Linked DNA regions of Arabidopsis thaliana. The protein of the gene in region 1 binds, or shares a complex with, the protein of each later gene. Each region holds a gene or a part of one and is shown on either strand. Other genes may lie near its edges.

Region 1 (4,599 bases):
TTCACGTTTTCAAGATATATGTGTGTATAAATAATTTTTATGTATATGCAATCGTCATTGTCTTAAATTGTAATAACATACAATGTGACTGTGTGAGACAGGCTGTGTTTTTTTTTTATATAGGTTGAAAATTTGTGCTTAGTCACTTTCAAGACACCTCGTGCCTTTGGGTTAGTTCAATATCCTCGTCGAAAATGAATTTAGTTTTTAAATATTTATTTACCTAAATTTTACTAAATGAGTATTCTTTAAAAATTTGCAAACCTAAATTATGGTAGACTAGTGATTTTGTTTTGTTAGTCCAGAGTATATTTAAATGTTCGCCAAGAGCACTAATGAAATCTTATTAGATTAATTTCATATAAAGATGGAGAAGAGAGTTGTACCATCAGCAATTCTAAAGTTACTTCTCTTCTTCTCATTACACAAATTTATCTCTGAATCTATCTTGAAAGAAACCTTAAACACATGGGCTAATGGACTATTTTTATGATAATGATTGGGCTGCTCTAATAATAAGAAGCATACATACCAAATTTACTAGTGGTTAATTAAAATTAGAGTCGTAAATCCATTAAACATAGCAATATGTCGAAACCCGAACATGCGCCAGTCCAACTCAAACGAAGATCAATCTGACCCGAAATTGTCAAATGAGAGACCTAAAGAAATATGTAAGAAACGTGGATTAGCAAGACTTAGACCCATACACAACGTACAAATAAAACTCAAGGCCCAAGTCGAGAAGCCCCCAAAAACTTATTAGAAAAAGTGAAACACTCATATGGATTAAGCTCATTTTTTCTGTGTGGGCTAGAAATGGATCGAATGAGCTAACTAAGTCGAGATTGTCCAACTAAATTCAAAGACGAAAGAAAATTTCCATCAACCATTTGATTCGACAAAAGACAAATCATAGGTTACTTCACTTTCTCGAGTGAAATCTGAAACTTTTTCAATTTTGCGTGTGAGTGTGACATTTTTTTTTTTTTACCATAAACAAGTATAATCTGTTTTAACTGCTGAAGATTGTAAATTCATTTGATGAAAAAAAAATTAATTGCACAATAAACGCAAACAAACAATCAAAGTCATACTGATGTATCAGAGAGGCATGCTTTGCAATTTTCAAGTTGAAATGATCTCACAAAATGTGTGTACACAAATGAAAAGCCTATCAAGAAGAGACTTGGTTCCCACCTGCGCAAGCCTATGTCATGTCGAATGGCTAAACCTAATCCGAAACTCCATCTCTATCACAAATTTATACTTGAACCTAAATTTTACTTAGACTCATTCTAAAACAGAGAGCAAAACGAGAAGAGGACACAGTCAACGACAAAACATAAGGTCCCATAATGCTTAAACAGAAACACTATCCTCAATCACAAAGTCCCTTTTTCTGAATAGATGCAGTAAGCAAGGGGCGCAAGGCTGAAGACACATAGAAACTCTAAAAGTGTCAATGTACCAAATAACAACAATCCTAGACTGATCTCAAGAAACAGTACCTGAATTTCCAAATATGGTTCCTATATTCAATCGACTAAAGATCCCATATTCTTGGTTATATAAGTTACTCATTCAGATAAATAACTTAACAATGGACTAATGTAACAGTAAGGAGTTTTAAACCATCTGAAATAGTAGTACTACACCGATTCAAAAGTATTTCAAATCGAAACACAAAACATCCAGAAACATCATTACTCAATTCCCATAACTGTTTTTCCAAAACTAAAGCCATTACCTTGTGAAACAGAGATCCTCAAGTGTGATGTAATCAACGCCAACTCGATGGCCAATACGGATGAATTCCATATCCAGTCTTCCAGTTATCCAAGTAAACAACTTTCTTCACAGCCCAGAACGATATGAACAAAGCCAAAAGCATAATCAACCTTTGTGCAGTAATATTCTTCACTCGAACAAGCACATTGGTAACAAACGCCAAAAGCAATCCAACAACAGTATACAAGAATCCAACAGCAAATCCTTCAGCTCCAAGCTGCATTCCAGATCCTTGGTAGAAAAACACAAGCTTATTCGGATCGTTACGATCTTGAAGAAACATCGGCATTTTCCTGATAATGTTGTGCATTGTACCAGCAACACTAAAGAAGTAAATGAAGATAGCACCAGATAACCAAAGTCTAGTATCATGAAGAATAGTTTCTCCTTTCAAAACTCTTTTGATGATAAACGGAGTAGCGATAACGATCAACGCAACGATAATACCGATCTGTGGTTTCGAAAGTAGCGGTGGACGTTGAATAGGACCGACCTTGAGTTTAGTTCGTTGCTCAACAAACTCAGCCATTGATTCAGCTAATCTAGAGTAATCCGATTGATCCATTTGACCAGATTCATCACGTAGATTCGATATCGAAGGACTTACAAGACGAATGTGAGGTAAAGCGTTAACGCCAAAGAGCTGGAACGAAGATTGAGACTTCGAAAACTCGATCTCACAGAAGAAAAGCTTAGTTCCTTCAGATCCATTGTTGTTAGCGAGGAATGAAGCGGAGACGATGCCGAATTCGCGACGGAGCTCTTGAAGACGAAGCTCGTTTTTGCTGTGGAGTTGAGTAGCGTCGAAGAAGACGAGTAACGAGTAAGGACGAGGCGTGGAAGCGGAGGTTAGGAATTTTGAGATTCCATGGTCATCGAGATGGATTACGCCTGATTCGCTTGTTGATCTGAGAGATACAAGTTCGTTGAGAAGATCTGAATCGGAATCCGAATCGGAAAACGAAGCTGCGAATGTGGATGATAGTGTTGCTATGAGGAAGAGAAGAGAGACGAGTTTTGATTTGAGCGCCATTGTTGTTGATCTCTCGTTCTCTCAGATTCGAGAAGACGAAGAAAGTGAAGGAAAAGGGTATTTGCCGTTTACCGGAAAGCCTCTATCTGGAGAAGAAGGTCTCGAAGTTCTTGGTATCTCGCTGGTTGTACCACGTGGAACGTTTTTATTGGTTGATGTACCACGTGGATTATTACGATTCGTGGCATAAAATACCTGTGAGGCTATGAGTTTTGACGAGACATATCCGACTTTCCAAATCCAGAAAAGGAAAAAAAATATATTTAAACATAGATAAAAATTTCAACACCGATAAGTTTTCGTCGTAACTCTAACCCATTCGAATTGATTTAGGCGTTAGGGTTTCTTCATATTTCTCTCTCGGAAGAAGAAGATGGTTTGCGATAAGTGTAAGTCCATCAATAATCTTCTCTTTGAATTCCATATTCTAATTGAATCAATCTATACTTGGATCGGTTTTAATTCTAATTGAATCTATACTATTGGCGTTAGGATTTGTGATTCGTTTCGTTTCTAGCTTAATCGATTACATGTTTCAGGAAGAAATTTAATGATCTCTGATTCGATTTTGGTTTCTTAGATCGAAACCCTAGTTGTAGGATCTCTAATTTAGTTCAAAGTATGAACCTTTTGACTCAATTTGTTTTTATCTTTTAATTTTAGGTGAGAAGAAGTTATCGAAAGTGATAGTTCCTGATAAGTGGAAGGATGGTGCTCGTAATGTAACTGAAGGTGGTGGTCGTAAAATCAATGAGAATAAGCTTCTCTCCAAGAAGAATAGGTATGCATTTCTTATGTTTATCCATCTTCATTTTACTACTTTTCATTATTTGAATTGCAATATGGAAATAGTGATTAATTTGTAGCTTTGGGGATGTTTGTATCGTCTAGTTTGGTATTGGTTTTGTTTCCTGTAGTTTCTTCTAAGAAATATTGGTATTGTAGTTTCGTGTAGTGTCTTTTTTGAGTTGATCCCTCCAGGTTCTTCTAAAAATCATTAGTAATTATAGAATTTCTCATGGAAATAGCGATAAATTTTTTAAGTTTGGGATGTTTGTATTATCTGTTGAGTTGATTAGGCTACTGGACTCTTGCCATCTAGGGTGTAGAACTCCACCGCTTCGCTAGTCCTCTAGGTTTTAATAAGAATCATTAGTAAATGTACAACTTCTCATGGAACTAGCGATATTTGTAACTGTGAATGTTTGTGTTGTCTTTTTTGAGTTGAGTTATTAGTTTTGTTTACTCTTGTTCTGCTTCTAATTTTCTATTGTGATATTTCTTTGCCTTGTAGATGGTCACCTTACAGTACCTGTACCACAAAATGTATGATCTGCAAGCAGCAAGTGCATCAAGATGGTAAATACTGTCACACATGTGCCTATAGCAAAGGTAAATAGTTAATACATCTGTTTTACTCTACTAAATTCTTACCTCTGGTTGGATAGTGATATTATAGAGTAACTTAACAACTGATGGAATTGCCTCTTCGTGGTTGTGCAGGAGTGTGCGCAATGTGCGGGAAGCAAGTGTTGGACACCAAGATGTACAAGCAAAGCAATGTATAAACAAATCCGCAAGCGTTTCACATTTTAGTTTTTGTCCCTTTGATGTCAACGTTGTATCCTCTCACTCATGTATTTTTTTGTATCGGTTTCCTCCGGTTTTAATATAACCAAACAGAATCTTGTTGCTTCACTGTGTTTCTTGACTGATCATAAAGTTAATGTTTCGTTTTAGAACTCGAATTCAAGTATCAAAGATAGATTTGAACA
Region 2 (3,029 bases), on another chromosome or scaffold:
ACATCAAACGACAACTACTCATACATGGAGCTGGGTCCAAGCCAGGCTGATGTGGAGAGGTTTTCGGTTTCTTTCGTCATGCTACTGAAGGAAGCAACAGACAAGATAAGTTGTAACACAGCAGACGATGCGTTCAAGAGTGAAACTGCCCTATGTCTGAGCAGTCTAGGGTTCTGCATTAGCAGATTAATGCAGGAAACAATATGTATTATGACAGAAATAACCCATACAACTTGATTTTGGAAGAATTCTAGAGGATGTTAGTACCTATAGCACAAACCATTTTGTAAGAAACGTTTGGTGTACAAAATTAATCTAAAAAAGAGCAAAAACGAAGCAAATTGTTTCTCTAGAGCAACAAAACATAGAAACGCTGCAAACAGAACAATTCTCATTATTAACTGGAGTTCATCTAGCTCTAGCTCTAACAGATACACGGACTCGTGATTGGTCTTGTATCAATGAACATGTAAATCCAAACAAAAATATACAGCAAAGCTTTCACCAACCTATCAGATAACAAATCCGCTCATAATTTAACATGCAAGACCCGGAAATTGCTATAGAAACAAGCCTTTTATAGCGAATTATCAAAGTATATGAATAACAGCACTACAAAAAAAAAAGATTTCTGCAGCTAAAACCAAGTATTACAAAAGCTTAAACATCTTCCTTAAGAGCTACAAAAAAACATCTTCAAGTATCGAATCTGAATGACATGTTGAGTCTGACATAACATTGTAGAAACCAACAATGATTCTGAACCTCATTTCTATTCGAATTTAGGGTCAGCCATGACGAAATGGTAGGCAATCACCAGTATGAAAATGAAGATTCCCAGGAAATTGGCAAAGAATCCCAGATCTTGATCGTCAAACATCTGTAACACAATAACCATTGGAGAGAATATTAGAACAAAGAGCTAAGCTTAGCAAGTGAAGTCTGAAGATTAAACGAATCAGATATTCACAAAAATGTTCACATCTACTACATTCTCAGCTATATCTTGTAGAAATCACTCCAAAATCTCAGCTAGATCTAGAGGATATCCGAATCATTATCAAAATTGGTAGCAACGATTACGGTCATACATTATAATGAATCCATGATTTTGATTACAAATTCAATATATATTTCTTCTACAAACAAGACCTGATCTGGAACACGAAATCTAGTAAGAACAATACGTGTTAATAAAAATAATATTGATTCATAAGATAACCAAACCACGACATTGGTTGAATCTGATACCTGTGAGATGAAACAAAGGCTTTGCTCAGATCACAGTGTAAACCTCGGGGACTAAATTATGCCTAAGAACCAGAATTTGAATTCGAAAATATGAAGGTATATAAAAAAAGATCCTAAAGAAATCACCGATTATTTACCTTCGAAAGCGCAGAGAATTTCGTGATAGAGAATTCTGGAAGAGCAGGGAACTCGTGAAATGTGTTTCTTCAACTGTGAAGTCTCTCTGAATGAAACACATGTTTTACAAAAATAAAGTAAAAGCTAGCTCCAAACGACGACGTTTCTAGTTAATTTAACCGAGAAATTCACATCTATTAGATTTGGTTCTTGTGGTTTAATTTGGTCAATATCGGTTTGCTACAAATGTCATATCCAGGACATGAATAAAGGAAAGACTGAAAAATTGAAAAGTTGCATACTTCCCAAGTCTCAATTATAAGGAACTTCCAGAGACATTAATTATTATACAAAACGACCATTTTTGTTCTTTACAATTGAATAGACAATACTGTTTTAAGCTTTTCACACTTGTGATCTCCCCGAATGTGAACAGATCAAAGAGTTATTCGTCGTGGGTAAATACATTCTCTACCTTAAGAGCTAAAAACAGGAAAGAGAAGAGTGAAACACAGACCATAACCAGCATCACTATGAGCATTGCTTGCAGTGATATGTACGGGCTTAGGAAGAACACTATCGCTATTGCTGCGCTCTGCCATACTTTTAGCTGCGCAAATGCTCCTTCCTGTTTTCACAAGTACAAACATAGGAGACCGTTTAGAGGATTTGTCAGTTGAGAGAATAACAATAATAATATTTTGATAATATTAACCGTGTCATGTTTGAAGAGTAATGCGAGAAGAGCACTGATTTGAGTATTTAATATTCCATCACCAATTCCTAATATGGCCGCCATTATAAGTGGGTAAGCTGTGCCAAGTACTCCGCTAGTTTGCCTGCATCACCATATCACCATAGCTTAGATTCTTCAGAAACACTTATAGGTTGTCAGGTGCCCGCAATTCCTAATTCTCTTCAGAACTTGCATAGTTTCACAAATATGACAAAGAAATCGGGATACTACCAAAGGAAGTTGCTTGATCAATGCCACTAATACATACCAATACCCATAATGAAGCTTTATGAGGAAATCATTTCATGAATTCAGAAACACAAGGACTTCTAGACTCGATATGTCTCTATTTGTGAAGTTGCTAATGGTTTGAATGAAAATAGGGTGTAGAAGTATCAAACCTGTACCCGAGAAGAAGCCAGAGAAACACAGAAGCTTGAGCAACAGCTCCACCAGAAACTATGAAGGTGATCGATGACAAACCAGAGGTAAACCTTCCAGCAGTCATTGAACACTAGAATGATTTTACAGCAGGAAAAATAAGGATTAACCACATAAAAAAAACACGAGAGTAAAAAAGGATGATTTTTTACGTTTCCTTTTAACTTACAACTGCATCAAGAGCTCCGTAGACTGCCATCGCCCCACCAACACCTGAGACACCAATCGCCGGCGTAACAATTTCCTTTGTAAACTCAGCCCTATAGAGTGGAAAATGTAACTTGTAAGAATAATGAAGATTTATATCAGTATATCTTACAAAAAAAATAACAAACTTTTGCTGATTTCGCTGACAAGAAATGAAAACTTATGTATAGATTGGAAACAACTATTCACTGCTAAGATCCTGAGACTCCAACCACCACAATGAACTTTATGTACGTTATCTAGGGCCTGACCGATAATAACTTTGATCGCAATAAAT

What was found. The genes of interacting proteins can lie anywhere in the genome.
Region 2: AT1G61790 (region 1) and AT3G09455 share a complex: the UniProt entries of both Arabidopsis thaliana proteins name them as parts of the oligosaccharyltransferase (OST) complex.

Annotation. Positions count from the first base shown.
Region 1 is NC_003070.9:22,812,615-22,817,213, reverse strand, and holds AT1G61790 (Oligosaccharyltransferase complex/magnesium transporter family protein), read right to left. Parts: upstream 2,848-4,599; 5' UTR 2,825-2,847; coding exon 1,784-2,824; 3' UTR 1,751-1,783; exon of another isoform or gene 1,057-1,750; intron 663-1,056; 3' UTR 526-662; downstream 1-525. Other genes in the region: AT1G61780 (postsynaptic protein-like protein), read left to right, coding at 3,198-3,213, 3,488-3,605, 4,119-4,216, 4,328-4,392. UniProt on the Arabidopsis thaliana protein: Subunit of the oligosaccharyl transferase (OST) complex that catalyzes the initial transfer of a defined glycan (Glc(3)Man(9)GlcNAc(2) in eukaryotes) from the lipid carrier dolichol-pyrophosphate to an asparagine residue within an Asn-X-Ser/Thr consensus motif in nascent polypeptide chains, the first step in protein N-glycosylation.
Region 2 is NC_003074.8:2,909,855-2,912,883, forward strand, and holds AT3G09455 (dolichyl-diphosphooligosaccharide-protein glycosyltransferase subunit), read right to left. Parts: upstream 1,501-3,029; 5' UTR 1,252-1,500; intron 881-1,251; coding exon 773-880; 3' UTR 557-772; downstream 1-556. Other genes in the region: AT3G09450 (fusaric acid resistance family protein), read left to right, coding at 1-237; AT3G09470 (Major facilitator superfamily protein), read right to left, coding at 1,814-1,996, 2,084-2,207, 2,506-2,618, 2,715-2,805. UniProt on the Arabidopsis thaliana protein: Subunit of the oligosaccharyl transferase (OST) complex that catalyzes the initial transfer of a defined glycan (Glc(3)Man(9)GlcNAc(2) in eukaryotes) from the lipid carrier dolichol-pyrophosphate to an asparagine residue within an Asn-X-Ser/Thr consensus motif in nascent polypeptide chains, the first step in protein N-glycosylation.